Arabidopsis thaliana: one gene and its partners. The protein of the gene in region 4 interacts with the protein of the main gene of each other region in a pairwise test. Each region holds a gene or a part of one and is shown on either strand. Other genes may lie near its edges.

Evidence for each region.
Region 1: the proteins of AGL16 (region 4) and AGL53 interact in a two-hybrid assay, tested with the Arabidopsis thaliana proteins (one large-scale study listed by BioGRID).
Region 2: the proteins of AGL16 (region 4) and AT5G09460 interact in a two-hybrid assay, tested with the Arabidopsis thaliana proteins (one large-scale study listed by BioGRID).
Region 3: the proteins of AGL16 (region 4) and AT4G03250 interact in a two-hybrid assay, tested with the Arabidopsis thaliana proteins (one large-scale study listed by BioGRID).

The regions. Positions count from the first base shown.
Region 1 is NC_003076.8:9,523,467-9,529,142, reverse strand, and holds AGL53 (AGAMOUS-like 53), read right to left. Parts: upstream 1,403-5,676; coding exon 539-1,402; downstream 1-538. Other genes in the region: AT5G27065 (uncharacterized protein), read right to left, coding at 4,441-4,476, 4,539-4,814; RLP53 (receptor like protein 53), read left to right, coding at 3,733-5,676. UniProt on the Arabidopsis thaliana protein: Probable transcription factor that may function in the maintenance of the proper function of the central cell in pollen tube attraction.
Region 2 is NC_003076.8:2,941,657-2,949,720, forward strand, and holds AT5G09460 (transcription factor bHLH143), read right to left. Parts: upstream 5,184-8,064; 5' UTR 5,032-5,183; intron 4,694-5,031; 5' UTR 4,199-4,693; intron 4,097-4,198; 5' UTR 3,921-4,096; intron 3,805-3,920; 5' UTR 3,762-3,804; coding exon 2,781-3,761; 3' UTR 2,082-2,780; downstream 1-2,081. Other genes in the region: AT5G09450 (Tetratricopeptide repeat (TPR)-like superfamily protein), read left to right, coding at 208-242, 332-620, 763-1,668; DIC3 (dicarboxylate carrier 3), read right to left, coding at 7,585-8,064.
Region 3 is NC_003075.7:1,421,475-1,429,345, reverse strand, and holds AT4G03250 (Homeodomain-like superfamily protein), read right to left. Parts: upstream 4,445-7,871; 5' UTR 4,297-4,444; coding exon 4,287-4,296; intron 3,808-4,286; coding exon 3,700-3,807; intron 3,617-3,699; coding exon 3,011-3,616; intron 2,836-3,010; coding exon 2,756-2,835; intron 2,610-2,755; coding exon 2,136-2,609; intron 2,041-2,135; coding exon 1,966-2,040; intron 1,858-1,965; coding exon 1,760-1,857; intron 1,675-1,759; coding exon 1,602-1,674; 3' UTR 1,284-1,601; downstream 1-1,283. Other genes in the region: AT4G03260 (Outer arm dynein light chain 1 protein), read right to left, coding at 1-86, 204-254; FH (frataxin-like protein), read left to right, coding at 4,588-4,805, 4,895-4,967, 5,065-5,112, 5,212-5,306, 5,532-5,661; AT4G03230 (G-type lectin S-receptor-like Serine/Threonine-kinase), read left to right, coding at 6,518-7,805.
Region 4 is NC_003074.8:21,174,889-21,183,514, forward strand, and holds AGL16 (AGAMOUS-like 16), read left to right. Parts: upstream 1-2,393; 5' UTR 2,394-2,716; intron 2,717-2,760; exon of another isoform or gene 2,761-2,807; 5' UTR 2,808-2,821; coding exon 2,822-3,003; exon of another isoform or gene 3,004-4,126; coding exon of another isoform or gene 4,127-4,206; coding exon 4,207-4,285; intron 4,286-4,678; coding exon 4,679-4,740; intron 4,741-5,099; coding exon 5,100-5,199; coding exon of another isoform or gene 5,200-5,214; exon of another isoform or gene 5,215-5,292; coding exon 5,293-5,334; intron 5,335-5,423; coding exon 5,424-5,507; intron 5,508-5,609; coding exon 5,610-5,783; 3' UTR 5,784-6,138; downstream 6,139-8,626. Other genes in the region: AT3G57220 (Glycosyl transferase family 4 protein), read left to right, coding at 219-306, 431-522, 602-720, 804-919, 1,028-1,155, 1,263-1,349, 1,464-1,524, 1,610-1,650 and 2 more; BG3 (beta-1,3-glucanase 3), read right to left, coding at 7,028-7,959, 8,064-8,157. UniProt on the Arabidopsis thaliana protein: Probable transcription factor involved in the regulation of flowering time in long-day photoperiod. Participates in the repression of FT expression and floral transition, by interacting closely with the FLC-SVP pathways.

The DNA of each region.
Region 1 (5,676 bases), on a different chromosome or scaffold from region 4:
GTACCCTTTATTGCAATACTCAAATCTTCAAGAATCGGGTAAAACGAGATAAGCAACTGTATAGCTTCATTATTGGCGTATATACGTAGACAAAACTCACTTAGGCATTGTAATCTGCAAATTCATTGGCATCAAATATCCAACAAAGCCAGAGTTTTTCCACCTCTTGGACAAAACACTACTTTTAACAACATTTTTTGTTGGAAGCTGTCACCAAAGCATCTGACTCATCAAAGTTGGCTTCTCTGCATAAATTATCGACATCTAACCTTCAATATCTATTGTATATTAAAAATCTGAACATAGCAGGTTTTCAAACTCAAATATAAGACTCAGACAATTATAGAAGAAGCCAAGACTGTTTTTAGAAACTTGAGAAAATAGCATTCATACTTGGGAAAACATACAATTCAATACAAACTCGTAATCAGGCACAAGAAGAGACAGTTAAACTCATAATCTAAATGAAGAATACATATATAATAGATCATTATAAAACGTACACCAAGTCAAAGATCAGTTTTTGGAACAACAAGAACTAATTATAAGGGAACATCATTGGATCTGCAAACGACGGTGCTTGATTCCATGCCGCAAACTGATCAAAGGGGACAAGTGGGGTTTGTGTCTGCATCTGAGGAGGAAAAACCATGGGAGGAAGATCAAAGTTACTTCCTAGACCAGATCCTTGTTCCCCAAGTAAAGCCGATTGGTCAAAGCTAGAAACTGAGTCAGGGACTTGATAGAAGCTACGGTTGTCATGGTTATAGAGAAAGACTGAAATTCTGCTCTGATTTTGACTCAATGATGACGTCGATAGGTCTTGCTCTGTGTTTGACACACCACTCATCAATGGTTCTGTCCATTGTTGATGACGATGATCCTCAATTAGCGAAGGAGGAGGAGACAATGGATTCGTTGTGGAAGAAACCGCACGGGTCTGACCAAACTCGGTCTGGTTTTTCTCGGGTTGGAGTAACAGAAGCTTATCTTGTAGTACTCGTAGACCACTTTCTAACGAATCCTCCATCTCTAAGACTTTCTCCGACAATTTAGTGTCGTCGAGGATCTTCTTACGTAGAAACAGAGAAAGGTTGGTTCTTTTCTTGCATCGCTCTCTCTCGTGTAATCTGCTAAACCTCTCAGCCATGTCTCGAACTTTTGATTGATCCTCCGGCCATGTCTTGATGAGTTTTCCGTCACGACCATAGTATATGACACAGACATCGATGTTGCACAGAGTTGAAAGCTCCAAGGCTTTCTTGAACATGGTCTGTTCTCTCATAGACAAATTCGTGGTCTTTTTTGCAGTAGAAGAAGAAGACAGGGACGATTTCTTGAAACAAGTTTGGTTTCTCACAGACAATTTGGTTTTCTTCTTCGTCGACATTGAAGAATCCATTGTTGTTGTTTACCCACAGAAAAAGAAGAAGAAGATACCTAGTTTCTTATCAGAGAGAAACCTAGAAAATAAACTTAGTGTAACTAACACACGGTTCAGGGTTATATAGAATTGTGAAATTCTTGTATTTCCATATAATATTTGATATTGATTTTACTAAACCAAGAGAGACAAATTGAGCTGTGGGTTTTATTTCCTTTTTCTTTAGAGTATCTTTTCTTCGTTAAATGATGATGATTTACTTCTATTAATCTAACCGTTGTGATATTTAAGTAATGAAATTCCCTTTTTGTTTGCTGTCTATGAGATAAATCTTAATTAGATACGATTTTCCTTTACCAATATCAATGTAACCGTTGTAGATACGATCTTAGATACGATTTCCCACATCCAGTATCTTATTATATAAAGTATAGTTTTTAAAGTTACTAACTCATAAGATTGTGGCACGTGTCAAGTCTAATAATGAGAAGTTTATATGTGTCATTAAAGATTTAACTTTTTAATTTTCTTAAAAAAATAGAAAACCTTAAAAAGAAAAATTTACATATATTAATTTCTTATTATATAAAGTACAGTTTTCAAAATTACTACCTCATAAGATTGTGGCACGTGTCAAATCTAACATTGAGATGTTTACATGTGTCATTAAAGATTTAACTTTTTAATTCTCTTAAAAAAATAAAAAACCTTAAAAAGAAAAATTTACATATATTAATTTATATATATCTAACAATATTTAAACTTTATTTTTCTTAACAAAAAAGAAAATTAACAAATTTGAAAACACATATATTATTGGTCAATTAAATAAATAATCATGTATTAATTTAAAAGAAAAATCATTAAGTATGAATAATAACTAATTAAAAAGACCACTTAAGTTTAAAATAACAATATAATTTATTTAAAATTAATTTAATTGGATAAAATTGTGTTTATCATTGTAATATAGTGTTTTCATTTGTTAAATTTTGAACACAAAAATATTTTTAAAATTTAGTGACCTTATTATAATAAATTTTTAAATATTTAAGATTTATTCTAAGAATTTTAACGTATTCGGTGATTGAGCAACTTGGATCCTTTGATATGTCACTAAAAGCTTATAACTATGTTTTATTGTAAAAAATTTAACGCATGTAGTCATAAGTTAAAACACAAGATTTTTGGAGAGAACAACTTATATGATTTACTTTTCAATTACTTAAAAAGAAGTTAGTATATTTTTTAATTAATTTTAACTCATTTAAAATAAGTTTACATAAGAGAAAATTACGCCATATATAAAGAAACATTTTAAAAAGTTTTGCTTTTCAAATATTTTTGTGGATTTTTTTTTTGTTAAGTTTTGTTTACTGTTTATTATTTTTTTAATATCAACAAAGATATATATTAGATCTGATATAAATATATTTTTTTAATAAAAAAAAATTCACTTAAGATGAAGTGTTTAGAATGAAAATCGAGTATATTATGATGAAATAGATACTTAAATTGTATTGCAAAATTGAATGTGTAAGATAGAAATTTGTAGGTTATTATTTAGAATTCAAATATCATCAATAAGCTTGAATGTGTAGAATTAAAATGTATGATAAAAGAGAATGTATAAGCATCAAATTTTGTTAAATAAAAAAATATTAAATTAATTGTCAAAAAAAATATAAATTACTATTTTATTATTCAACATTTGAATACTGTCAATAAAGATTTACATCTAAATCACACACCCGCCTATTTAGGCGGCCTTATTAGTTTTTTATAAAATAGTCCCAAATTTTAGTTTTAAGTAAACACAAAGAGGAATATTTATACTCTTCCGAGTTCGCTGACATATGGTAAAATGGGCCTTCGTTTTCTTTTATCCGCCTTCATTGTTGGGCCCTAGCCCAGTTGTTTTTTTTGCGCAAAATTAATACATCGATGGGGATTGACTCTTGACGCTGTCGATCATCACTATTCACTAGCACTAGTAACAATGAACAAGTCATTGCTTACCTGCAGAATTCATTTTCCACGATCAATTTAATTTGGCTGGACAAAATACAACGTTTTTTTTTCATGTTCCCTGTACGTAACTAAAAAGTAAGACAAAAGGAGTGGAAATGGACATTATTCAACGTAAAGACTTTTTAAGTCGTTGCGTTTAACGTGAAAAACGCCTCGGAGGGTCAAGCTGTGTTGGAATTATCTTTGTGGAATAGAGTCTATTATTTTTGTATATAAAGAGATGGGCATGAAAACATGTTACGTACCATCACAATTTCCAGATTTTATTTTTTTGCTTTTTCACTATCAATATTCAAGAAAATTAAATTAGCTTAAGAATGATGGAAGGCTTTTGGAACTCAAAGAGTATCATTCGTATTACTCTCTCTTTTATTTTCTTATTCATTTGTCATTTTCTGGACGTGCTTGCGGCTCCAACTAGGAACTTGTGTCGTCCCGAACAAAGGGATGCACTCCTCGCGTTCAAAAACGAGTTTGAGATTGGGAAGCCTTCTCCTGATCATTGTAAGATTTATGGCATTGAATCTCCTCGGAAGACGGACTCATGGGGGAATAACAGCGACTGTTGTAATTGGGAGGGAGTCACGTGCAATGCCAAGTCCGGGGAAGTGATCGAGCTAGACCTAAGCTGCAGCTCTCTCCATGGCCGGTTTCATTCCAACAGCAGTATTCGAAACCTTCATTTCCTAACCACTCTAGACCTTTCATTTAATGATTTTAAAGGTCAAATCACGTCATCAATTGAAAATCTTTCTCATCTCACCTATCTCGACCTTTCTTCTAATCATTTTTCGGGTCAGATTCTGAATTCAATCGGAAACCTTTCTCGTCTCACCTATCTCAACCTTTTTGATAATCAATTTTCGGGTCAGGCTCCATCATCAATTTGTAATCTTTCTCATCTCACTTTTCTAGATCTTTCTTATAATCGGTTTTTTGGTCAGTTTCCGTCTTCTATCGGAGGTCTTTCTCATCTCACCACTCTCAGCCTTTTCAGTAACAAATTTTCGGGTCAGATTCCATCTTCAATTGGAAATCTTTCTAATCTCACCACTCTCGACCTTTCTAATAACAATTTTTCGGGTCAGATTCCATCTTTTATTGGAAACCTTTCTCAACTTACCTTTCTCGGCCTCTTTAGTAACAATTTCGTTGGTGAAATCCCATCTTCTTTTGGCAATCTAAACCAGCTGACCCGCTTATATGTTGATGACAATAAGCTCAGCGGAAACTTTCCCAATGTCCTACTGAACTTGACAGGGTTGTCACTTTTATCACTCTCCAACAATAAGTTCACAGGCACGCTTCCTCCTAATATCACTTCACTATCCAACTTGATGGATTTTGATGCAAGTGACAACGCCTTCACCGGAACGTTCCCTTCTTTTCTCTTCACCATTCCTTCTTTGACTTACATTCGTTTGAATGGTAACCAACTCAAAGGCACTCTTGAGTTTGGAAATATATCTTCACCATCTAACCTATATGAGTTAGACATTGGCAACAACAACTTCATAGGACCAATCCCTAGTTCCATTTCCAAATTAGTCAAACTTTTCCGACTTGACATTTCCCATTTAAACACCCAAGGCCCAGTTGACTTTAGTATCTTCTCCCATCTCAAGTCACTCCTAGATCTAAACATATCCCATTTGAACACCACCACTAGGATCGACTTGAACTATTTCTTATCATATTTCAAAAGGCTCCTTTTATTGGATCTCTCAGGCAACCATGTTTCGGCCACAAACAAAAGTTCAGTTTCAGATCCTCCTTCGCAATTGATACAATCTTTGTACTTGTCAGGGTGCGGTATCACTGAATTTCCAGAGTTCGTAAGAACCCAACACGAATTGGGGTTTCTAGACATTTCCAACAACAAAATCAAAGGTCAAGTTCCTGACTGGTTATGGAGGCTACCAATCTTGTACTACGTGAATCTTTCCAACAACACTTTAATCGGTTTCCAAAGACCATCGAAACCTGAACCATCTCTGCTGTACTTGCTTGGCTCCAACAATAACTTCATAGGCAAGATTCCTTCTTTCATATGCGGGTTGCGTTCTCTAAACACACTCGATTTATCTGACAACAACTTTAATGGTTCAATCCCTCGTTGCATGGGACATCTCAAGAGTACTCTTTCAGTTCTAAACCTTCGTCAGAATCATCTTAGCGGAGGTCTTCCAAAGCAAATATTTGAAATACTGAGGTCTCTTGATGTCGGCCATAACCAGCTAGTGGGAAAGCTACCAAGATCT
Region 2 (8,064 bases), on a different chromosome or scaffold from region 4:
ATACCAATCCCCAAATACTTAATGCCTTCAACTTCGAATTGCCACATCGTTGGTGGTTGTTTATCTTGGAGCTAATGGGCTGATTTTCATGGGCCCATTAGATATTTTTGCTATTTTTTCGACACAAAATTGTTGAAACTCGAGTTTCTCGAAGTAAGTGATCGGTTTTTAGATCTTTTTGGTCTCTTCAGTCGGAACTGAAAATTCATGGCGACTCGCTCGCTCTTCCATAGTCTTAGATGGTGAGTCTCCCTCCACCTCTCTATGTCTCCTACTGATTTCGTATTTGTTTCCTGAGATAATTGATTCACACTGCTTCTTATGAATTTAGTCGATTGACGAATAATGGTGTTCTCGGAAGCAATTTCATTCGAAACGCCGAATCGTCACGATTCTCCAAGTCGTACAATGCTGACGCAGCAATCGGAAACTCCCTTGTCGAGGAATCGGAGGAGAAAGACGATCTGAAGAGCAGGATTTTCAGATTGAGACTTCCGAAACGTAGCGCGACTACTGTTCTCGAGAAATGGATTGGAGAAGGGAATCAAATGACTATCAATGAACTCCGAGAGATCTCCAAAGAGCTTAGGAGAACTCGCCGTTACAAGCACGCTCTTGAGGTACTAACATCGATCATTTCCTTTTTCATTGGTTTTTCTTCGTAGCTCCTAGTTTCTAGATTGATTGCACAATTTATGATTTGTTATGTGTTGCTGCACAAAACTGCATTCTTCTGGGAGCTAATTCAAGTATTATTAACAGGTTACAGAGTGGATGGTACAGCATGAAGAATCAAAGATCTCAGATGCTGATTACGCCTCACGCATAGATCTGATTTCAAAAGTTTTCGGGATCGATGCAGCTGAACGCTACTTTGAAGGTCTGGATATAGATTCAAAGACAGCTGAAACCTATACTTCTCTCCTTCATGCTTATGCTGCCTCCAAACAAACCGAACGAGCCGAGGCCTTGTTCAAGAGAATCATTGAGAGTGATAGTCTCACTTTTGGTGCCATCACATACAACGAGATGATGACTTTATACATGTCAGTTGGGCAAGTTGAGAAAGTACCTGAGGTTATTGAAGTGTTAAAGCAGAAAAAGGTTTCTCCGGATATTTTTACTTATAATTTGTGGCTAAGTTCATGTGCTGCAACCTTTAATATAGATGAGCTTAGAAAGATTCTTGAAGAGATGAGGCATGATGCTAGTTCCAATGAGGGTTGGGTTCGGTATATCGATCTTACTAGCATCTACATAAACAGTAGTAGAGTAACTAATGCAGAGTCTACTTTGCCTGTCGAAGCTGAGAAATCTATTTCGCAAAGAGAATGGATCACATATGACTTCCTTATGATTCTGCACACTGGTCTAGGGAACAAGGTTATGATAGATCAGATTTGGAAGTCTTTGAGAAACACCAACCAGATATTGAGTAGTAGAAGCTACATTTGTGTTCTTTCATCTTATCTAATGCTTGGTCATTTGAGAGAAGCCGAGGAGATTATCCATCAGTGGAAAGAGTCTAAAACGACAGAGTTTGATGCTTCTGCTTGCTTGAGGATCTTGAATGCTTTTCGAGATGTTGGTTTAGAGGGAATAGCCAGCGGCTTTCACTTGATCTTGGTGCATAACAAATGCAGCTTGGAGAATGAAGGATCATCTTAAGATGGAGAAATAAGTTGGTGAAAATTTTATGCTCTTAGCAAGAAGAATCAGATCAAGCTCATTAATCATGGTGGATGAATAAAATAGAGGTTTCTTCTCTTCACTGTGATTCTTAAATATCTTTTTGTTCTTTACGTGGGAGGTCATGAGACACATAGATTTCCTCACCAGAAGATTTTGCTGCATAGTCGGAAGATGTGTTTCCTTAGGCAAGGTCCATAACATTTCATATGTAACGTCAAATTTCAAAAAGTCCAAATTTTACAACAAAAAATAGATTGTGGAGGTTTTTCTTGTATGGTTGTTGTTTAATAATAAGTCTACAAAATTTGTTTTTGGTATAGAAAAAATGATAGTTTGAAAGGTTAGAGCAAAATCCTAGCATGTAAGAAGCCAAAGAAGGTTCCATTATTAACACTCGAGTTTATTACATGAACATGATACACAAACATGTTTAGACCCATGAGAGAAACAACAGAAGCAAATAACATTACAATAGTACAAAACTACAAGGCCTTTGAAGAGCTTAAGAGCCAGAGAGATTAGAAAAAACAAAAAAGATGACAAGTTATGGGATTGATAGCAACAGAAGAGTAATAATGAGACAAGAGAGAGTGGGGACATAGATTTTCACCTAATGAAAGTGGGAAGATTTCAATTTCCACAAGTCACAACCACTCCAAAAATTTCAATATTTGCCTTTTTGATTTTTCTTCATCCACACCCACCACCACCAGACCTTCACAGAGATATTATTATTACTCACGAGTAAAGATAATTATTAACGATCAATGAGCACCAAGACTTTGCTTTTTTCCCTTCTTTCACTTTTCTTCCACTCCAAGCACAGAAGAAAGTGACTTTTTTTTGGTTCTTTTTTGAGAGAGCATGCCAAATCCAAAAGTAAACCACTATTGATCCAGCTAGATGAACAGTGGATACGGTCCCACTAGGGTCACCAGGCGTGTTCTAATTGTTTCAAACCCACGTTAATGAATTTGAGAGAATCTTCTTCATCAGTCCTTTACCTCATTGATTATCTTTTGTCCCATGTCTTCTCTTTAACCAACCAAACATGCCTTATCAATAGGACAAAAGGGGTTGTAGGTTTTTCACCAATGGTTATTCAAACCCTTTGATGAGTTTAAGCTTTGCTTCAGCAACTTGAGGTAATCAATGGCTTCGTCTAGTAGTAAAAGAGCTTCTTTTCCCTTTGCCCCTGGAACTACACTCTCCAGGATTCTCAGAGCGGTGTGAATCTTGTCTTTTCTTGACTGCTCGTCGCTCAAACCAGAACCCGTTTCTTGTTTGCTTGAAATGTTTGATTCAGGAAGGTTTTCATCTGATAAGCCTTTGACTTTAGTGGTGCCCACAAGGGATGGTGATGAGTCTCTGTACGAATGGTCCAGTAGTTTCTGTCTTTTAAGAAGTGGACCATCAACAGTGCTTTCAGTTTCATCCAGCTCTTCTGTTGTTATGTTGCACGCTTGTTGTTCAACTGTGAATGGAGAGTGACCAGTGCTCATTACTTCATCATCACTTTCCCAATCATCATTATCGTCATCATCAGAATACAGTAACGCGTTGATTTCCTCAGTGTCTTCGTGCATTTCCGAGTCTTCTTCGCCATTTTCATGATCTTCATGTTGCAATATCTTTTCTTGAATGGCATGATCTTTACTAAACCCTTTCTCTGGGTGTAGGGCACCGAGAATGTTCCCTCGCTCTGCATCCATAGAAGAAGGAAACCGCAGAGGAAATCCACATTGTAACAAACGAGTCTGCTCTCCCGACTGATCGAATACTATAAATCTTTTCCGAGAAGACTTGAGTGCCCCCTCTGGAGCAGCACCGTTGCTAGATCGCCCATTCAAACATGAAACTTGTTTTCCACAAGACTGCTGATCATATCTAGACAATAAGGCTTGGAACGGTGGCTGCAAATAGCGAAACTGATGCTCAGCTGCATAAACTTTACCGAGTTCCGGAAAAGGAATTCCAGGACGGAAATACTCAGTCGCCTTGTCCTGGACACAAGCTTGAGGATTTAAGCCTAATGGCAACCATTTCTGCTGTTTGGTATCAAGAGGCATGCTCTTGCAGTTTAAGCCAAGGGAACTTTACAGGAATACAATACTGCACGAAAAAGGAAAGGGACTAATCATTGGACATGGCTATGAATGAGACAACTACTAGTAGCCCAACTCAAGAAAGCAATAATCCATAAAGAGTCAAAGATTCAGTTAGCATACCGATTGTGGAAGCTGTTGCTCAAATGTGTGGAACGCAACACTTGTTGATTCTTTCTTGAAACAATCGTATAAGAAAGTAGAGACAAAAAGAAAAAAGGTGCCAGCTCCAAAAATACAAACACAAGCTCACAAACCAACTACGTCACTGGTTTGAGTATATGTCTAAAGTATTCAGCCTGCAAGTGGAACAGAGACAAAAGTGTTAGATAAGAAACACAGGACTATGAGATGAAATGTGACAAAAAAAAGAGTATAATATCATTTTTGCTGCAACAAACCTGACAATTATCCATCGGTTGGAAGCAAGCAATAACTCTCACTACAATTGTTGGTCTGCTAGAGTCTCCGTTGTTCTCGTACTTGAATGTTCGAAATCTTGTTTGACCAGCTGATTGACTTACCATAATAATAACTTTTCCAAACTCTCGAATGTAAAACTAGTGTTTCTCCACAGAACAGAGTAAGTCACCAAAAGACAGATGACTTGAAGAAGAAAAAGAGAAGCTTTAAGGGTTTAGATGATCCTATACTGGTCACAGTGGAAAACGTAGAAACGTTGGGATCCCATTATTAAAGAGTTTAGAAAAGGCTGAGGATTTAGAAGAAGATTGAAGATGGGGTTTTTCAAGGCAGAGAAAAAGTTTACAGAATAACTCGGCAATACAGATTCAAGCTCACAACTTTACGGTACACATCAACAGACCTTGTGAACCAACTCATGCTGTTTTTCTCATTCACTGCTTTGTTGTGATCCAGAGAAAGAGAGAAGAATTCTGTTACAAAACAGAGAATCATCTCATCAAATTCCAGTAATAACAAACCAAAGAAACCAAACATTCACAACAATTGAAAGGATAGAGAAACCATAAACAGCAGAAGAAGATAAGTACATGTTCTGCAGCATTGAACAAGTATAATTTATTTTAGCAAAATCAAGAACTAAAAGCTTGGATTTTGCAAGCCAAGCTACGAAAATAGAAGAATTTATCCGTTTTGGTAACGATTTAAACACATTTGCATCAAATTCGCTGATAATTCAACTTTTTCGAGGAATAAAAAAACAGAGAGAGCACAGCGACAAACAATGGTTAAGTGAATCCAAGAAGCGTACATGGAGGAAAACAGAGGAAGATCTATGCGTGGAGATCCAGAGAGAGTGGAGAGGTTTATGAGACGAATTCACGAAAGCTTGAACGGATAAGAAACGAGAAAGCGGAATATTATTTCGAAAATATATTTTTAGCAAATTCACTAAAAGTGGGCGTGAAGACTGAAGTGTGTGACATTGCTTTATACATCTTCTTATTTCTTGTGACGATTTTACCCTTTTCCACCACTTTATTTACCGTCAATAATGGAGACCAGGAAAAGAAAAAGAAAAAGAAAAAAACAGTTCACATCAACCAAGTTTATTTCAGATTTTTTTTTTTTTTTTTTCATTTTTCTTTCTCTTCCAAAATTTAGATAACCAAGCTGGAACATCAACTCTAAAAACTCATTTGAGCAAAACATAACACCATCTCCATTGCCCAACTTTATTTTCTTCTATTTTAATATTAACTCAATTTAAGAAGAAATATAATTAATTTTACTCTATTATATATTTTAGAATAGAGTTACTACTAAAATAGAAGAAAAATGTAGAGATTACTCTATAAATAGAACAAAAGACAACTTACTCTATATTTGTTTTCTATTTTAGAGAAAACTTTATTTTAGAGTCATACAATGAAATAAAATACCTTTAAAATAGAGTCAATTTTAAAATAGAAGAAAAAATAGAATTGAACATTGGATATAGTCTTATTATTTTGATTTTTTACTATTCTTTTTAGTAGAAATTAAAACTAAAATACACTTTAGTATGAGTTTCAATTCATATTTCTAACACATATTTTTTATAAAGAAAAATTAAATTTATTTAATTCAGTTCAATTTAAATTTATTTTAGAAAATACATATAGTATAATTTAAAATGCATATAATTTTGAATTGAATGGTAGAAATAATCTAAATATTTTTATTAGTTTGGATGGTTGCAATGGGACGAGGAGTAGAGGAGGTGGAACGTAGAATATATGTAATTATGATGTATAATGGCAAACCCTCGCGATCCATAATTTCAAGCCATAAATTAATAATTATGTAATATCATAAACGTGAGAATTTCTTAGTAGTTCGTTAAAGTAAAGCCATTATATGTTCGTCTTCTTTTTAACTTTTTTTTTTTTTTTGGGGGGGGGGGCAACGTTTTTTCTTTATAATTATGAGCCAAATAGTGGAAGTGAGTTTTTAACCATTTTGGTGGTTTCTATAATCATTATTTTTAAAGTATTAACCTTTCTTTTTAGGTGTGTGGGTGGGATGATTTGGAACATTTATGTCTTTACGATGACGCGATACAAATTGAACTATATACATTGTAACATATTTGACTAGTTTAGTAGCTAGCTAAATAATACAATATTTTTGACGTGGCTTATAAAACACCAATTTAGCCCACTCGTTTTTTCATATATAATTACGAACTATTGTACATGATATTTTAATAAGTGATTGAGGTGAAAAACGTTGGAGCATCCACCAAATTCCATGATCATAGGAGAAAGAAAAGAAAACGAATAAAGAGGTAAGCAAGTTTGGTGAAAGAAGAAAAAAAAAGAAAAAGAGAAAGAGACGCAAGTGAATGATTAAAAAAATGCACAGGGAATTAAGTGCTTAATTGCCTTGATGACTTCTTTTTCTTTTTGGAACATTTTTTCTAAAGATTTTAATTTCTCGTTGAATCTTTTTTCTTTATTTTGATGTGATATGAGATTTGAGAATAGTCGTTGCCGTGTGAGATCAGTGGACCCAAATGCCTACTATGTACTTCAAAATTCTTAAAATTTTAGGAAACAATTATTATGTGTTCTATTCGGAAGCAAATCATTGAAACATGTTAAAAGAAAGACAGTTAGATAGAAATTTCAGTGTGAAAAAACAAAACATAGAAATTTCAGTTCACATAATTGAGACTGGGCTTTGGTTAGATGAGTGGAGTGGCCATGCAAAATGGAGCCTAAACATGGCCTTGGACTTATTTTGGGCCATGTCTCAGCTTTGGATAACTCTTATACAATCTCATAAAACAAACACCAAATTGCCACCAGCTTCAAACTCAAGTAAAAAAACTTTAGAAAGATTTTATTTCTCTTTTATAGAGATAATATGATCAAAGTCAATAAAAGAAAAACATTATTGTTAATCTTATTTTCTTATAATTTTTTGCATAATTTCTAATTTAGATTTTTACAAACAAACAAAAGAAATTGTAATTTAGAAGCGATATTTCATATTTTCTGTCAACCAAGAAAATAGAACATAGTACCCAAAGAAAAAAAGGAATATACCAAATGAAGGTCCCCAGCAAAAGTATATCCCCCAAGTCCAAGAGACTTGGACCGTCCGAAAAAGTCCCTTTGCTTCAATCACTATCAGTTTTCGCATTTACTAAAAAAAATATTTGTGCAAATAAATAATTTATTTTTATACAAAAATCTCTAGTAAATATTACCTTAATCGCTATATAATTATTTTCAAAATATTTTAAACGTATATGAAATGTATGAAGAAATATGGGAATCTCAAACATTTATTAACCTAACTACTTGAAAAAAATTAATCAAAATTTAACGTCTTTTAACAGACCACGAACTTGTTCCAAGGTAAGGAACAAGATCATCGTGAACGGTCCTTGCCTCGTCGCCGTCGGAACAAGCCCTTTGTACAAAGCCATTGGTCCTTCCTCTGCCACCATCTTCACCGCACAATCCAACGGTCCACCGTAAATCTCCTTATCCGCATTCATCATCCTCGTCTTCACAACGTCGATGGGATTCGACGCCACCGCCGCGACGATCCCCGCCGCAAAACTCGCCGCTACATGCGTTCCTATCCCTCCCGGCGTTCCACGGCCACCAGCTACCAAGATTTCTTTGACGTGATCATACGTAGCGAGCTGAGAAGCTGTCACGATCATGGCACGGTTCACGGTTAGCCATGAGCCACGCCATAAACTTGAAACGCCTTCTTGCCTTGCGATCCTGTCGATCGCGTCCACGACGCTCTTGTAGTTTCTGCGACGGTTTAACGGCAAGCTTCC
Region 3 (7,871 bases), on a different chromosome or scaffold from region 4:
TTTCTCCCAAATATAATTGAGCTCAATCCTTTTGATTTAGACCCATCTTCTTTGATCACTCGTTCTGAAAATCCTTCAACAGATTTCTGCATCACCAGAACATAGAAACAAATTAGCATTCTCTTATTGGACAAAGGAGTCTTGGACAGAGAATGTAAAACTATCGTTCTAAAGACACAAGAGGCAATGATGGTTCAAGTTACCTTAGGTCTATGGCGGTGGATGTGAGCGTTGAAGCATGAAAACCTGACCATTGTGTCAAACTTAATAACATCGAACTACATCACCAACGGAAACTAAAAAAGCAAAACCAAACCACAAAAAAACGGTTCTTTACTTTACAACCACAACTAAACTAGAAACAATTAAGATCCAAGTTAAGTTTTTGCACGAATAAAAAGTTCTTATAAAAGCTTAAGAGGTGGTATAGTGGGCGTAGTAAATGTTAGCCGTAATCAAGGGTAAGACCCTCAGAAACACGACGGAGCCTCCAAATGATAGAAGCTAGAGAAATCCTTGGAAGACAGAGTGAAGTCACCACTTCAAGGCCACCCCACACCTGCGCAGAGGTGCGAGAAGCACACGACTTTGCAGAAGCGGCCAGAGTGAAGAACAATTGTTTCGAGCTTAATAAAGCCCCAGTCCCTTTGTTAATCCCCAATTACTTGGTCACCTGAGGAAACAATTGAACAAGAGAAAAGGAACAATTTTTAACACCGACCGACAAAAAAAGCAAAAAGCTTGCAAGTCAGATTACAAAAAGGAAAGAAGAAACAGAAAACAAAATCCATAAAGATCATCTTTTTCAATACCTACCGACAAAAATCTAATCAGCAATCAAAAACATCAACCGTTGGACGAAATTACGGAGACACAAAGGTCAACAAGTTCACAAAACACAAACCCGTAATAACGAAACACGAACAAGTGATGGAAAATATCGCAGGAACTAACACAGAATCGGAGAACAGTGGAATCGTCGTGAGAGAGAAGAAGAAGAAGAAGAGAGATTCTTACCAGGGAGGAAAAGGATTGGATTTGAAAATCCAGATGAATAATTGATTAAGCGTAAAGATTCGAAATCAGTAGCAGAGAAACCAAAAAAATTATCTTCAAAATTTGAGTTTGAGGCAAAGCAACGCTAACCCTAAAAGAAAAAGAAAAAAACCTTTTTTGGCCGAATCAAAATTGTACCACATACTTTCTACGAAAACTAGTCAACGGCTCTGATTTTTTCTCATGTGACGAAATCTCCTAGTCACACATTTCCGAACCGCCTTTTACGACTAAACCGGACTATCATAATATTTTGGGCCTAATTTGAGCTTTATTAATAAATGGGCCTTACTTTGGTTATTTTGTAATCACTGGGATTTACATACTCAATTCGGTCAAACCGGTAACGGTTTAGGAGCAAATTTAAACAAAAAAAGGCTCATTACTGGCTCACTGTATCTCTTTGGGGACCGTTTAGTTACCAAAATGAAGAGAGCTCTAACTTTTACCAATTACACGATGCAACATTTTCACATCCTAAACCGGTTTCATCATATATCTATACAAACCGGAATTTCCTAATCTTCCTTTGTACCTTTCTTTACTTAATCCATTGACGAGCTAGATTCGTCAGTCTCATCGTCCCCGCTTAAACTAGAAGGCAGTTCCACACCAGACCTACAAACATAACAGTATGATCCAATAAGCCGATTTGATATCTCTTTGGGACAATAAATGCATTACACAATGGTTGGTTACTAACCGATTTATCTGGCTTTTTCGTTCAAGAATCTCGCTGTATGATGATGATTTTGGTGCATATACTTGCTGAATATACCCATGTTTCACTCGTTTGGCAACCTATTAACATTCGTTAAAGGTCAGAACACGAACTTGATAGAGCCTCTAAACTTTGTTAAAATATACATCAATATCTATATTTTTAAGATAGTTAACCATCAAACTCACCGGTGGTTCATCAGTCGAATGCAATTTCTCTCTCTGCATTTTCATTTGATTCCTCTCCCCGTGATATATTCCTGCCTTTAAAAGAAGATATCACACAAAACACAAGTCATATTTCCATAAAAGGGCAAGAAAGGAACATGTAGACATGGAAGTATTAGACAAATCTTTACCATCCCAGAAGATGGACCTCTATCCATTGACTCAGGGGATCTGCTTCTACTCGGAGGTAACAGCTTCGAAGATTTAGTGAGATATCCCGTCTTGCGTCCGCCATTAGATATATTATTATCATAATCATGAGACTGATTGGTTTCAATATTGCTTCCAGAAAGATTTTGGACGTTGGCAACCAGATGGTTTCTCGACCCTTCAGCCCAACTTTTGGAACTTATCCAACCCTTCTTGCTGTTAGTTACAGGGATTTCCCGTGGTGAACCTTTGAATGTCTCTTTAAACGATTTGTGGCGAGGTACAGAATTATAGAAACTGGTAGAAGGGGATTTCAGTCTTGGTTCCCCAAAACTTTTCTTATCTCTTAGACCAGGCTCCATTCCAACCATTATGTTGTCATCATCATCATGCTCATCATCCTCTGAATCTGGATCTGGCGAATGCAACTTTGATTTACGAGCTAATTCATAGCTCTATAAAGACATTAAGACAGAAAACGAAAATATTAATAATACTTCAAAGAAAGTAAGATAATTTAGCCAAAGAATGTGATGGCAGACTAAGATTCTAGTTTATATTATCTTCATGGGTATGTAGTATACAGAAAATGTTCACTTACAGGACCAGGATTAAAGCTCTTCCTCGTTCCAAGTAAATGTGGAAGGTGAGGCCGTCTCTGATTCCCAACATATATTGGCTCTGACAAAACAGTTGATAGAAAAAGCAATCAAATCCGACTGGACATGGGTAAAGGCATTCACAATCTGACACACGAAGAAGATGGTTTTAGCTTCTCTGAGCCACTTACTCAATACTCATAACATCATAAACCAGAAAATTAAAGGTAAAGTTGAAACATTTTATCATGACTCACCGTGAACTATAGGATTAGTCTGAGGCTCAAATGCACCGGGAGGAAGAGGATCAAATTCAACCCCCAGAGGTGGACCATCCTCTTGGTATTGTCTTCCTAATTGTCTCTTTACGGCAGTGATAGCAAAATTCTCACTCTCTCCCTTCACTTTCAAGTATCCCGAAGGCTTATTATACCCATAGCTTCTCATGAACTGAGGATGCTGAATAACGTCTTTATGTGCAACATATCTAGAACTTTCCACATCGCGAATTCCATCTTTGCTAGAGACAAGATTCTTACGTAATGATGAGCTACGATCAGAAGATGTACTATCTTCACCATCAGCATTTCCCATATAAAGCCTTTGACTTTCAACTTCCCTAGGCTTGGGGTTCCAATAATCCGTTTGCTTTGTACTACCACATGAATCCTGTCGAAGCCCACTTCCACGATCCTGAAGAACAACGCTTGACCGATCTTGGCTCCCAATGGCATTCCCATCTTCTTTTACATGACGTTTGTCTTTTAACCTTCTATGGCAGAACCAACCTGAAACTTGCTTCTCAGTTAATCCAACTTCCTCTGCTAACTTGCCCTTCATTTCTTCAGTCGGATACTTATGCTCTGTAGAAAAACCAAATCACACCTGTAAAGCATATACAACTTGGTATAAAGGAACATATGCAAACAACAAAGCCATAATTTACCATTGTAGAAATTCTCAAGCGCCATAACTTGCATAGGAGTCTTAAGCTTCCGTTTTTTGCTGTTTTCTGTAGAAGCTTTATCGCCATCAGCGGTCGCTTCGCCTGAATCTATCGAAAATAGCACATAAAAATCAAAAACATAAGAAGATAATAGTGAAACACGGACACCATTCAATAACCAAGAGATGCAAAGCCCTGACCAAAATCAATTTCATTTTACAATCATGCTTTGTGTATTTAGAAATGTTGCTAGTAATTCCGAAATTCAGGTAAAACATCTACACAAGCTTCACATAAAAGGGTTTAATTTCAGAATTATGGCTCTTTCTCTCATCAGCCAAATACTTCTAAACCCAATCAAAACGAACGAAAACTTTGGAATTCCTTAGCTTGAATAATTAGTAGTACCATAAAACAAACCAAAAAAGGCTTAAAATTTCCAATGCCATTGATGAATTTCGCTAATTAAAACTACAAAAACTGGGAGTTGCATTGTAATTCGACGAACTCGGGATCATTAAAAACTATTCTCTCACGTAAACTCGCAGGAAGACAGAGATTGAAATAGAGGAAAAAACGAATTTCACCTGAGTGCATAGCGAAAATTCCCAGAGATTGAAGGAACAAAACCTAATCAGCTCCCAAAAACCCAGATTTTTTTCTTTCTCCTTCTTCAAAATTCTGGTTTTTTCTTATGAGAGGAGAAGAAAACTCTTCTTCGCACACAAATGACAAATCTCTTGAGAACCATACCGGTTTCAGTAAACCGGAACATGGGAAATACGTGAACCGGGTAAATCTAAATTTGGGCCTTATTGTGGGCCTAAATTGGACAACGAAGGAATAAGAAGAAGAGAGGCGTCGAATGTTTCTTGTGACAGAACCGCCATGGCTACAGCTTCAAGGTTTCTTCTACGGAAATTGCCGAGGTTTCTCAAGCTGTCTCCAACTCTTCTCCGTAGCAATGGCGTAAGAGTTTCAAGCAATCTGATTCAAGATTCCATAGAACCGTTGGATTCCTTCTGGAGAATAGGATCTCGAATCCGCCATGATTCTTTGACTACCAGAAGCTTCTCTTCTCAAGGTCCTGCTTCTGTCGATTACAGGTACTTTAATATTCTCCATTTTGATCTCCTTTATTGTATCTGAATCGTTAATTTCATGAGAATATGAACAAAGTGGAAGAAAAAAACAGTTCGGTTTTGCAGGAGGAAGAGTTTCACAAATTAGCCAACTTCACAATTAATCACCTTCTTGAGAAAATTGAGGTATTTGAAGCTGGAACCTTTTTCTCTCTAGGGTTCTTCGTTTTACTTGAGATTGCAATAGCTTACACTATGTTCTACTTGCATGATTCATGTTCAGGATTATGGTGATAATGTTCAGATTGATGGTTTCGACATAGATTATGGGGTAAGGATTAAACTCTTTTAAGCAATTTAAGATCTTGTTCATATTTCTGGAAATCTATGTGTACTTATTATAGTCAGTCCTTTTGGCTGTTTCCAACAGAATGAAGTTCTTACCCTTAAGCTTGGATCTTTAGGCACTTATGTACTGAATAAGCAAACTCCAAATCGACAAATCTGGATGTCTTCACCTGTGAGGTAAAGATTCTTTCTTGCCTTTTGAAAGTTGCTAACTTTAGGCGCCTAGATTGAATTTCGCATCTGGATTATCATGTTCTGCTCTCTCTTCTGATTTTTGTACTCATGATATTTGGAGAAATGAAACTGTTTATGACTGTATAGTGTTGTTGCTCTTGACTTTGTGCTTCCACATCTTAGATTCACATTAATGTAATCTTCATTCTTCCTTTTGTCTCGGTGCAGTGGCCCTTCTAGATTTGACTGGGACCGTGATGCTAATGCGTGGATATATCGGCGAACTGAAGCAAAGTTGCATAAACTCCTGGAAGAGGAGTTAGAGAATCTATGTGGTGAACCAATCCAACTCTCATAAAGAAGGCTTTAAAACAATATTTGTGAGCGAAAGGGTTTCATCTATGAACTTGAAACTGCTATACCCTGTTAAAGGTATATCTATGAAACATCCAGAGGAATAAACAAACAAGGCAGAAGACAAAGTTGTTTTAGTGTGAAAACTGATTAGTGTTTCTGAATCTATTTTTAAACAGTAATGTCTCATAGTGACATTGTTGCAAGTCTCTTTGTTTAATCAGAGCTGAAGCTGCCTTTTACAGGTTTACGCGTTTTAGATGAAAACATTTCTTTTGAACGACAAAAGTCCTACATTTGTCAAAACTCCTCGAATCTCACAATAATTTCGGAAAAAAGTTGGTTAACAATGTTTGCAGGGTCAATCTCCACTTCTTCGAAAGCACCAATAAGGACAAAAGATTGACTTCTTCAACATCATTGTCCCCTTTTTCCAGTAATTCACGTTTAGGTACCCCTATGTCTCTCTCATTGTCAAAAAATACTCTAAAAGTACGTATTATTCAAAAAATGTTGGATCTTTTTGAACTATTTAGAGATCCATCGCGGAAAAAGTTGACACAAAGTGCGTGAATTGGTCACATGTGTATCTACATACAGTGGCTAAGAGAGTGTAAATAGTATCTACTACTTTCATGGCTTTTGGTTCAGATGCTCAAGTGAGACTTGTTCTGCTTTTTCTTGGAAACATCTTAAAACACATGATTAGCTGCGTTCCACATATTTACTTTTCAGGTGGGTCTTTCGTTGACGTTGAGGCAAACTTTTTCTTTTTTCGTTAGACACGTTTTGAGTTGAGTTCTTAAGCAGAAATAATGGAGATATCAGATGAGTAAAAAAAAGCTAGTACTGGTCAGAGAATGATTCTTTCTGTCTTCTTCTATATGTTTTTGCTGCATATTCGTCGATTAGATTGTTTTGTTGCAGTTCAAGACTCCAAAACATTGTTCAAAGGTTCAACATTGATCAATGACAGCCATGGAGAGACTCTTGTTTCAGCTGGTCAGAGATTTGAGCTTGGCTTCTTCACTCCTAATGGAAGCTCCGACGAAAGAAGGTACTTAGGGATTTGGTTTTACAATTTACATCCACTGACTGTTGTCTGGGTTGCAAATCGTGAATCTCCGGTTCTTGACCGTTCCTGCATTTTCACCATCTCTAAAGATGGGAATCTTGAAGTTATTGATTCAAAGGGAAGAGTGTATTGGGACACCGGTGTTAAACCTTCCTCAGTATCTGCGGAGAGAATGGTAAAGCTGATGGATAATGGTAATCTTGTGTTGATTAGTGATGGAAATGAAGCAAATGTGGTTTGGCAGAGTTTTCAGAATCCTACTGATACATTTCTCCCAGGGATGAGGATGGATGAGAATATGACTTTATCATCATGGAGAAGCTTCAACGATCCATCACATGGAAATTTCACCTTTCAGATGGATCAAGAAGAAGACAAACAGTTCATCATTTGGAAAAGATCAATGAGATACTGGAAATCCGGAATTTCGGGTAAATTCATAGGATCCGACGAGATGCCTTATGCGATTTCTTACTTTCTTTCCAATTTCACAGAGACTGTTACTGTTCACAATGCCTCTGTGCCTCCTCTCTTCACATCTTTGTATACCAATACAAGGTTCACCATGAGCTCCTCTGGTCAAGCTCAGTACTTCAGGTTAGATGGAGAAAGATTCTGGGCACAGATTTGGGCTGAACCTAGAGATGAATGTAGTGTATACAATGCTTGTGGAAATTTTGGTAGCTGCAACAGCAAGAATGAGGAAATGTGTAAGTGTTTGCCAGGTTTTAGGCCTAATTTCCTGGAGAAATGGGTCAAGGGAGATTTTTCTGGTGGATGTTCCAGGGAGTCAAGGATCTGTGGTAAAGACGGTGTTGTGGTGGGAGACATGTTCTTGAATCTGAGTGTGGTTGAAGTAGGAAGTCCGGATTCACAGTTTGATGCACATAATGAAAAAGAATGCAGAGCAGAGTGCTTGAATAATTGCCAATGCCAAGCTTACTCATATGAAGAAGTTGATATACTTCAAAGCAATACCAAGTGCTGGATTTGGTTGGAGGATCTCAATAATCTCAAGGAAGGCTATTTAGGTAGCCGCAACGTTTTCATTCGCGTAGCAGTTCCAGATATAGGTAAACAATCTCTTACCGACTTTAAAACATATGAAATGCTTTTAAAATGCATTAAGATATATAACT
Region 4 (8,626 bases):
TTTTTCCTTCTTAGATTTGTCTTTGTTTAGTTCTCAGATTAGTGTTCAGCGTTTTTCTAGAAATGGATGTCTCTTAGATTTGATTTTTTGTATAGGAGGAAAACTATGAGATGTCTCATTTTCTGATTGATGTTCTATGGATGTTTACGCTTGATTTGATCTCAGGGGACTTAAAGTCTTTTGATGTGCTTATTTTCAGCAATCTTATTTCTTTGTAGGCCTGAGTCATTGGGAATTGTTGTCGGTATTGTCTTCTTGATAGTGGCGATTGTATTTCAGTTCTTTAATTTCACTGAAGATTCGGTGGTAAGTGTCCTGGTCTCAAAAGCTCAAGCTTGATCATTTATTTATTGTGAACTATGAACTTGGTAGCTCTTGGCTCATTTACTTTGAATGCAATTTATCAATCTGGCTAAATGACTCGGTGCAGTGGCTTGTGGAGTATAATGCAGCACTGGCGTCTATTTGCTTCATGATATTGCTTGGATTTGTAGATGACGTCCTTGATGTGCCTTGGAGAGTGTAGGTGCAGTTCTCATTTTGTTGGATTAAAAATTCATGATTTAGTTTTGTTTTCTTATTAACTCTTGTCAATTTGCAGGAAACTTCTCTTGCCATCTTTTGCAACCCTTCCACTGTTGATGGCTTATGCTGGACATACAACTATCGTCATACCGAAACCTTTAGTTTCTTATATTGGCTTGGAAGTGTTTGATCTAGGTACAATTCATCTTGTATATAGTGTTAAACCATCAATAGCTATTTTGAAATTCATTTCCTTAGTTGTATATTTATCGTGGCAGGACGTATATATAAGTTATATATGGCGCTACTGGCTGTCTTTTGCACAAATTCTATTAACATTCACGCTGGTTTGAATGGCCTTGAAATCGGTCAAACCGTAGTTATTGCAGCTGCTGTAAGTTCTGCTGTCAAAATGCGTCGCAATGCTTCATTTTTTTGGTCCCATTTTTCCTTCTGTTGGTTTCTCGTAAGTAAAGTTATGATAAATCTCAGTAACTTGTAGATTCTGATACACAACGTTATGCAAATCGGAGCATCTGTTGATACTGAGTATCATCAAGCTCATGCCTTCTCAATCTATCTTACTCAGCCATTGATGGCAACATCCTTGGCAATGCTTGCCTACAATTGGTAATCTTTGGATCTTTCAAGTCATTTTCTCTTAAATCAATCAGGTAAACTAGCAAAGCAGAATGCTTTCTCTAACCACGTTCATGTCCCCTCTTTGGTGATGTTAGGTACCCTTCTGCAGTTTTTGTTGGAGACACTTACACAGTCTTTGCTGGAATGACTATGGCAGTTGTTGGCATTCTCGGTCACTTCAGGTATACTTCTAACCATACCGTCCTTATTGCAATGTACTTAGATTCATCATTTACATTTAACTTATGTGTGAGCCTTCAATTAACTAACTACTTATGAAACTTTGCTTTTTGCAGTGAAACCCTGTTAATCTTTTTTCTTCCTCAAGTGTTGAACTTTTTACTGTCACTTCCGCAGGTTTGATACCTTTCTCCATCTCACACTTTCTGTTACTTTTCAATACATTTGAAAGCATCTAACTTGCTATTGTATAACTCTTCAGCTTGCTGGCATTGTCAAATGTCCACGACATCGTCTCCCCAAGTAAGCTATTTTTTGTCCATTTTTCATAAGAGGCAAAGCCAACAAGTAAACAACACATGACTCTTCCTCTCTCTTTTTTAAACCAGGTATGATCCTGCTACGGGACTGTTAACAGGAACAAAAGATGGGACACTCGTGAACGTCTACTTGAGGATTTTTGGTAGGAAAACAGAAAAGTCTCTATGTATTCATCTTCTTGTTTTCCAGGTAAACTTGTTAATGCCCATATTATCATCTCTAAATACAAGTTGGTTTATTCTGAGAGAGAGAAATCACAAGATTGGTGTTTTGTGTGTTCTATTGCAGGCTCTTGCTTGCGCATTTTGTTTCATGCTTAGGCATTTTCTAGCTGGTTGGTACAAATAAATCTCTGCAACATGAAGAAACTCTAAACCTGTTCCTCTTTTCATCTCTCTCTCTGCCTTCACAAATCATACAAACACAGAACTTGTTTTGCTTCATGTCCAACAATCTACTAGAATCATCGTTTTAGTTCACTTATATAGAGAGTTTTCATCTAAAGGCGAGTGTATCTCAACAATATAAAGCCAATGAAATGAATCAGAACAAATTTGTCTTGGAATTTAAATTTAACTACAAATGCTGATCTTATTTTGATAACTTTGATTAATAAACTAAATAATTTTTAGATTAAAGTTTTGCTAATATAGCATGCATTAAATGAAGTGTCCATTTACATATATTTTTGAATTTTAAAAATGCGCTTTTAATATTAGACAGACTACTGTCGTACTAGAATAATAAAGAATGTAATAAAAAAATAGAAGGAGAATCGGAAAAGAAACCCACTTATAGAATGCCATGTGTCAAAACATAACAAGCGAAGTATGTTTATATAGTAAGAAAACTCTTTTGCCCTAAATATCCCAAATTGTCATATGTTCTTTCCTTATGTGGCTCTCTCTTCTCTTTCTCTTTCTCTTTCCTTTTTCTCTTTCGATCAACAAAACCACATCTCTGAACTGAACCAATTTCTCTTCTCCCCCTTCCGGTTATCGGATTACCAGATCTCGTTTCCCGCGATCTAGTTTATTCTTTGAAAAAGGTAAATGTTCAATTTTTTTATTTTATTCAAAATCTCCCCTGGATTCAGGAGATGATGATTTGAAATTGACGATGATGTTTGTGTGTAAAAGTGATAGAAGCAGAAATGGGAAGGGGCAAGATCGCGATTAAGAGGATCAATAACTCTACGAGCCGTCAGGTTACGTTCTCGAAGCGAAGGAATGGATTGTTGAAGAAAGCTAAGGAGCTTGCGATTCTCTGCGATGCTGAGGTTGGTGTCATCATCTTCTCCAGCACCGGTAGGCTCTACGATTTCTCCAGCTCCAGGTACCTTTTTTCTTTTCTCTTTGGTTGACTTTTTTTTTGGGTCTTGGTCCATCTAATTGGTTGATTGATTGATGTAGCAAATTCTAAATCTCGATTTTTTTTTTTCTTTCTTAAGTCGATTTCTTGTTAATTGTTTGCAAATTCAATTGCTTTAGAGAAGGAATCGTAGATCAACTTAGTCTGATAATTTGCAGAAGAAATCACTTGGTTTGAATGATAATATGTTTTGTAAGGGGAATATGAGAGTGTGTTCTCTGTGTTGTTGGAGATGATTACGATATTTGTGTGGAACATAGATTGTGAGGGACTTGTGGTGTTTATTGAAACATACTAAATTTGGTAGAAACTTTATCAGAAGAGGAAAGGAGGGGAGAAAGTGGTTAGTGGTTGAAGAAAACTCTAAACTCTAGAGAGGATTTAGAAAGAATCGTCTCCTTTTCACTGTTCATTTACTTTATTGGCAACTAGTTGGTGGGTTTGATGTACCTAAAATGAGCTGCATTATCTTCTCTTAATATATATTGTTAGTACACAAGTGGGGGAATCATTTCTGATTTCGTTGTCATCCATAATCAAGTTTTTGTTTTTTTAATTCTTCAACTTGGTCATTTGTTAATGATATGTAGGAGTATAGTCTTTCTTTTTGGGAACATTTTGCGATTTGTTAGAAAAATATTATATCTTCAATCCTTTCTGAATTTCTACTTTAGGAGTTCATTCATTTCTTTATTTGATTGTATCTTTCGTGTTTACATAATTGTTTATTAAAAAAGGTTGAATAAAATCTGGCTCTTAGATCTGTTTCAGAGGGAGAAAGCTTCCATTGTTCTGCAGAGCTTTTGTTGTTTCTCTGTTTTTTGAACTGAGACTCTGTTTTTTTCTTTTTTTCTCTTCAATAAAGACAGCAAGATATCTATACTGTTTACTGATTAGAGTTGGCTCTATTTACATCAATTTTGTCTGGCTTCTCTCATTCTCTGCTTAAACTTCATACATTATGTTAGATTTATTGCGAATCTGTAGTTGGGGTGCTGAGAATCCTGTTCCATGTAGACAGAGATGGCTTAGGGTTAACTAAATCTATTTAAGTAAGAAAATTTGACACTGAAAGATGTAAGGATAAATGTTGCAGTGGATGTTGCTTGGGTTACATTACCTATCAACCACACTCTACAACTATGAAACTACTCTCTTTTTTGGCAGCATGAAATCGGTCATAGAGAGATACAGCGATGCCAAAGGAGAAACCAGTTCAGAAAATGATCCCGCTTCAGAAATTCAGGTACTCCTTTTTTTTGTTACTCCTCCCTATGGATTTCAACGAGTAGACAAAACAAGTAACATACTACAACAGAGAGACTGTTACTCGATTCTTGTACTAATATGTTAGCCTATTACAACTCATTAGCATTTCTCAACTTTTAATTCCTCTCAAGCTGATCCTGATATCTAATCAGAGTTGCAGACCATAAATACCACCACACATCATATGTTGAAGTAGGGTTTGCAGTTTGCTATAAAACACAAGTCATGCCACCTGAACATCAGATTGCATACATAGTGTTGCATTTTATTTTGTCAAGAATCCGTTGTAGACTAGATAACATATTTATCCGAAAACAAAATACTTGTTTACAGTTTCAAACACCTGAAAATCATTTCTACTATATTCTAGTTCTGGCAAAAGGAGGCTGCGATTCTAAAGCGTCAGCTACATAACTTGCAAGAAAACCACCGGTATGTTTTGCATCCTCTGAGTTTGTCAAACACTCTCGATAGTAGTAACAACTAGAGCAGGGAAATATGTACTAAAATGCAAAATGATAACATACGTGTAGTCCAAGGTTAGAAGATTTTGCAGAACCCAAAACTATCCTACCATTTGCATTTGCTTAGTAAGGATAGTCGATATAAAGAATAGTAAGCCAAATGGATTAAGAGTTGTATACATAAACACATCTAAACCATCCATAAGAAGGAAATAACCAAACACTTTCACACTCCCCATCGTTTTCTTGTTTTGCTTTGGTGAATTAGGAAATGTATATAGTAACTCTGGAAAAGTATGCATATTCAGAAGAGCTTGTACTTGACAGGCAAATGATGGGGGAGGAGCTCTCTGGACTAAGTGTAGAAGCTTTACAGAATTTGGAAAATCAGCTTGAATTGAGCCTTCGTGGCGTTCGAATGAAAAAGGTTTTGATGCTGTGACAAATAAGTCAAATTTTGGAACCATTTAGAAGAAGTAATGGATGTACTCTATCTACGCTCTTCTTTTGCCTTTTGCAGGATCAAATGTTAATCGAAGAAATACAAGTACTTAACCGAGAGGTGGGACTATGGTTACTGTGATATAGGTTTTAGACGTTTTCCATAGTGTTGGTAAGCACATTGCTAATTCTTTTTTTATTCGGTTGCAGGGGAATCTCGTTCACCAAGAGAATTTAGACCTCCACAAGAAAGTAAACCTAATGCACCAACAGAACATGGAACTACATGAAAAGGTACCTTTGGGTTTTGGGAAGTATCTGGGAGCCAAGATACTCTTTAAAATTGCTAGAACATTTTTTTCTTTCTTATCTGATGATAATATGTGCTTATTCCAGGTTTCAGAGGTCGAGGGTGTGAAAATCGCAAACAAGAATTCTCTTCTCACAAATGGTCTAGACATGAGAGATACCTCGAACGAACATGTCCATCTTCAGCTCAGCCAACCGCAGCATGATCATGAGACGCATTCAAAAGCTATCCAACTCAACTATTTTTCCTTCATTGCATAATATAATTCGGTGTGCCAACACACTTATGTTGACCTCGTCGGAATCATATCACAATTCACTGTGTCAGCTTGCCTCTGCATAAGCGAAAATAAAAACATAAACATGATCAGTTTGCATTCCATATCTATCAAACACCAGCTTTGTAACTTTTAAAACTTTTTCTCCGTGCAAAGACCTTTGGTTTGGCGCTTAAGCATGTAGTTTGATGATCAAAGGAAATGGGTGTTTTAGCATAAAGTTGTCACCCTTCCGTTGCATTTTAGCTTCCCATCCAAATCAATTTGTAAAATGTGAGTTAGTTTGCAGCATGAAAGCTGATTAAATATCAGTCCCGTTATCACAAGAGGTAAACAATGAAGAGCCACAACATTGTAAGACGCTTAAATAACTAAAAAGACCTTAGTATACTTCTGGTAGATTATCATGGTTCATGAGGAATAATGACGAGACGAAAATGTTTACCAAAGAAAACTTAAAACCGAAGTCGTCTTAAAATTATTGAAAACATAAAACCGAAAATGCATGGAGAGTTTTAACTTCTTCCTTTTTTATTCGTAGGTAATTGTTCTTTCTCTGAGATATTCGAATATTTTAAGAGCTATGAATATTTTAAGGCTAGTTTTAGATCCATATATTCTACAAATTCTCTAGAATATGAAAGTGGACAATTTTCAAAAGTCCATTCTTTCAATTATCTCTACTTTGTGGACTATTTTGACAGATTTCTTTCTTTTCGTCTAAAAATACAAAAGACCATATGTTTTTGAACTTAAATTTATATCACTAAACTAAATTGTGTCTTAAATAACATCTCAAAATTTATTATATTTTTTTCTCTAATAAAGTAAAACTCCATACCTTACACGTTATTATATGCAATGTGCCTGAAACTTAAAGATGATTGAACTTATGGTGTCAAAGAAGCGGTAAGGCTAAATAGTACCATTTTCGGCTCGTCTATAAAACGAGACGAAGATTTAAGTCAAGAAATTGATTAATTTCATCATATCATATGCTTTGAAAAGTTTAAGAATGTGCGTTTTCTAAACAAGTTGATTGCTAGTTATAATATTGAAGAGCCCTATATTGAACTGATGAAGTAAAAACGTACTTGACTTTTCTTATTTTTCTGGTCTCATTAGTCTATTCCTTACTATTACAATAAGCTCCCATACTCTTAGGAAACCTTTACGATACAAGTCATTTATCTCATATCGCTTTATCGTGAAGTGTCTTCAAGGATATTAGTTGAAATTGACAACATACTTAGGCTGTAGATTTGGAAGAAACAGTCCCCAAAACTTCTCAGTCTCGGGACCCTGCTTCGAATTCTCATCGAACATAGCAAATATATAAGTCTCTGTAGCTCTCCCTGGTCTCCTCGGAGATCCATTTTTCACAGTTTGTATCAAATTGTTCACATAAGTTCTCGCATTATCCACACCCGTCGCTGCTCCTCCCGCTGTCGGCCAACCACTCTCGGACACCACGATCTCCAACGAACCACCTCCAGCTTTCTCTAATGATGCGTAAACAGTGTCTAAGATTGCGTGGAATAGGTTTCGATATTGGTTTTGTCCGTCATTGACTACAGTTGACGGTGCGGTGAACAGAGTGTAGTCTAACCGGATGTCTCGCATGTTTCCCGTGTAGCTGAAGTAAGGGTAATTATTCACGAGCAGAGGAGATTGCTTGCTTGACAAGAAACTTATCACCGGTGCGATAAAGCTCCTAAACTCCGGTGTGAACGTCCCACTTGACGGCGGAAACCCGGAAATGCCTCTGGTGTCTATAGCCGTCGAGACCTTGATCCCGAGGCTTGAAACTGCTCTCTCTATGTTCTGCATCGCGGGGAGGACAAAGCTCGCAGCTTGGTCTGAGGGCTGTACCTCGTTCCCGACAGAGATGTAGCGAAATGTGACGTTTGCATAGTTGCGGACGTTGTTGCGGACCCATGTGTCGGCTTCCGCTTGGCTGGAGGCGAGACGCTGGAGATCAGGGTTTGGAACATCGAGCACGAGCTCGATATTGGAGCCGCGGAGAGCGTTGAGAGTCTCCTGGTTGGGATCGTACAGCCGCATCCGCCGGATGTTCCGTTGTTGGTAAAGCGCCACGACTTCGGACGCGGGTCGCAGGTTGTTTCCATTTCTCCCGTAGCACACTCCGATTTGTCCAACTTAAAATTCAAAAGAAGAATCATTAGTGAAAAGAATAAAATTCTGAAAACGAATCAGAAAGAGACCAATGTGGTATAATCAATAGGTTAAAAGAAGATTGAACCTGCCGTGTCGAAGAAGGAAGCCAATATGAAGCTGAGAAGAAGCAATAACAGTGGTAATGAGGCTAAGAAACTGGATCCATTACACATCTTCATGATTAATGTTAAGCTTGCAACTTTATATACTAAAATCGTAGCATTTTGCACTAATTTATAGAAGGAATGGAGGGATTCAAGTCAATGAATGAAACAAAGTCATCGCGTCATATCATCATAGTTTTGGAATGTTATACATTAAATCACCGTTCATGAATATCTCTCTAAACCTATGCTTTGAAAAGTCTAAGAATGTGAGTTTTCTATACACGTAGCTTTCAATAGGCCTAACTAGCTAGCTAGACACTAAAATCTTCGAGTTAATTGGAACGAATCCTCCAGAGCCCCAAAATAAAATATCCACTCTTAAATATTCAATGAATAATATAACATTTTTGAAAAATATATAGGCCGGATATCAAACTATCTTAAGATATTAATTGAAATTTCTTTTATAATAATCAGGATTATGAATCACTAATCTTCCAGACCAAATGCGGGTTATGAATTCTGTGAACCATTCATAAAT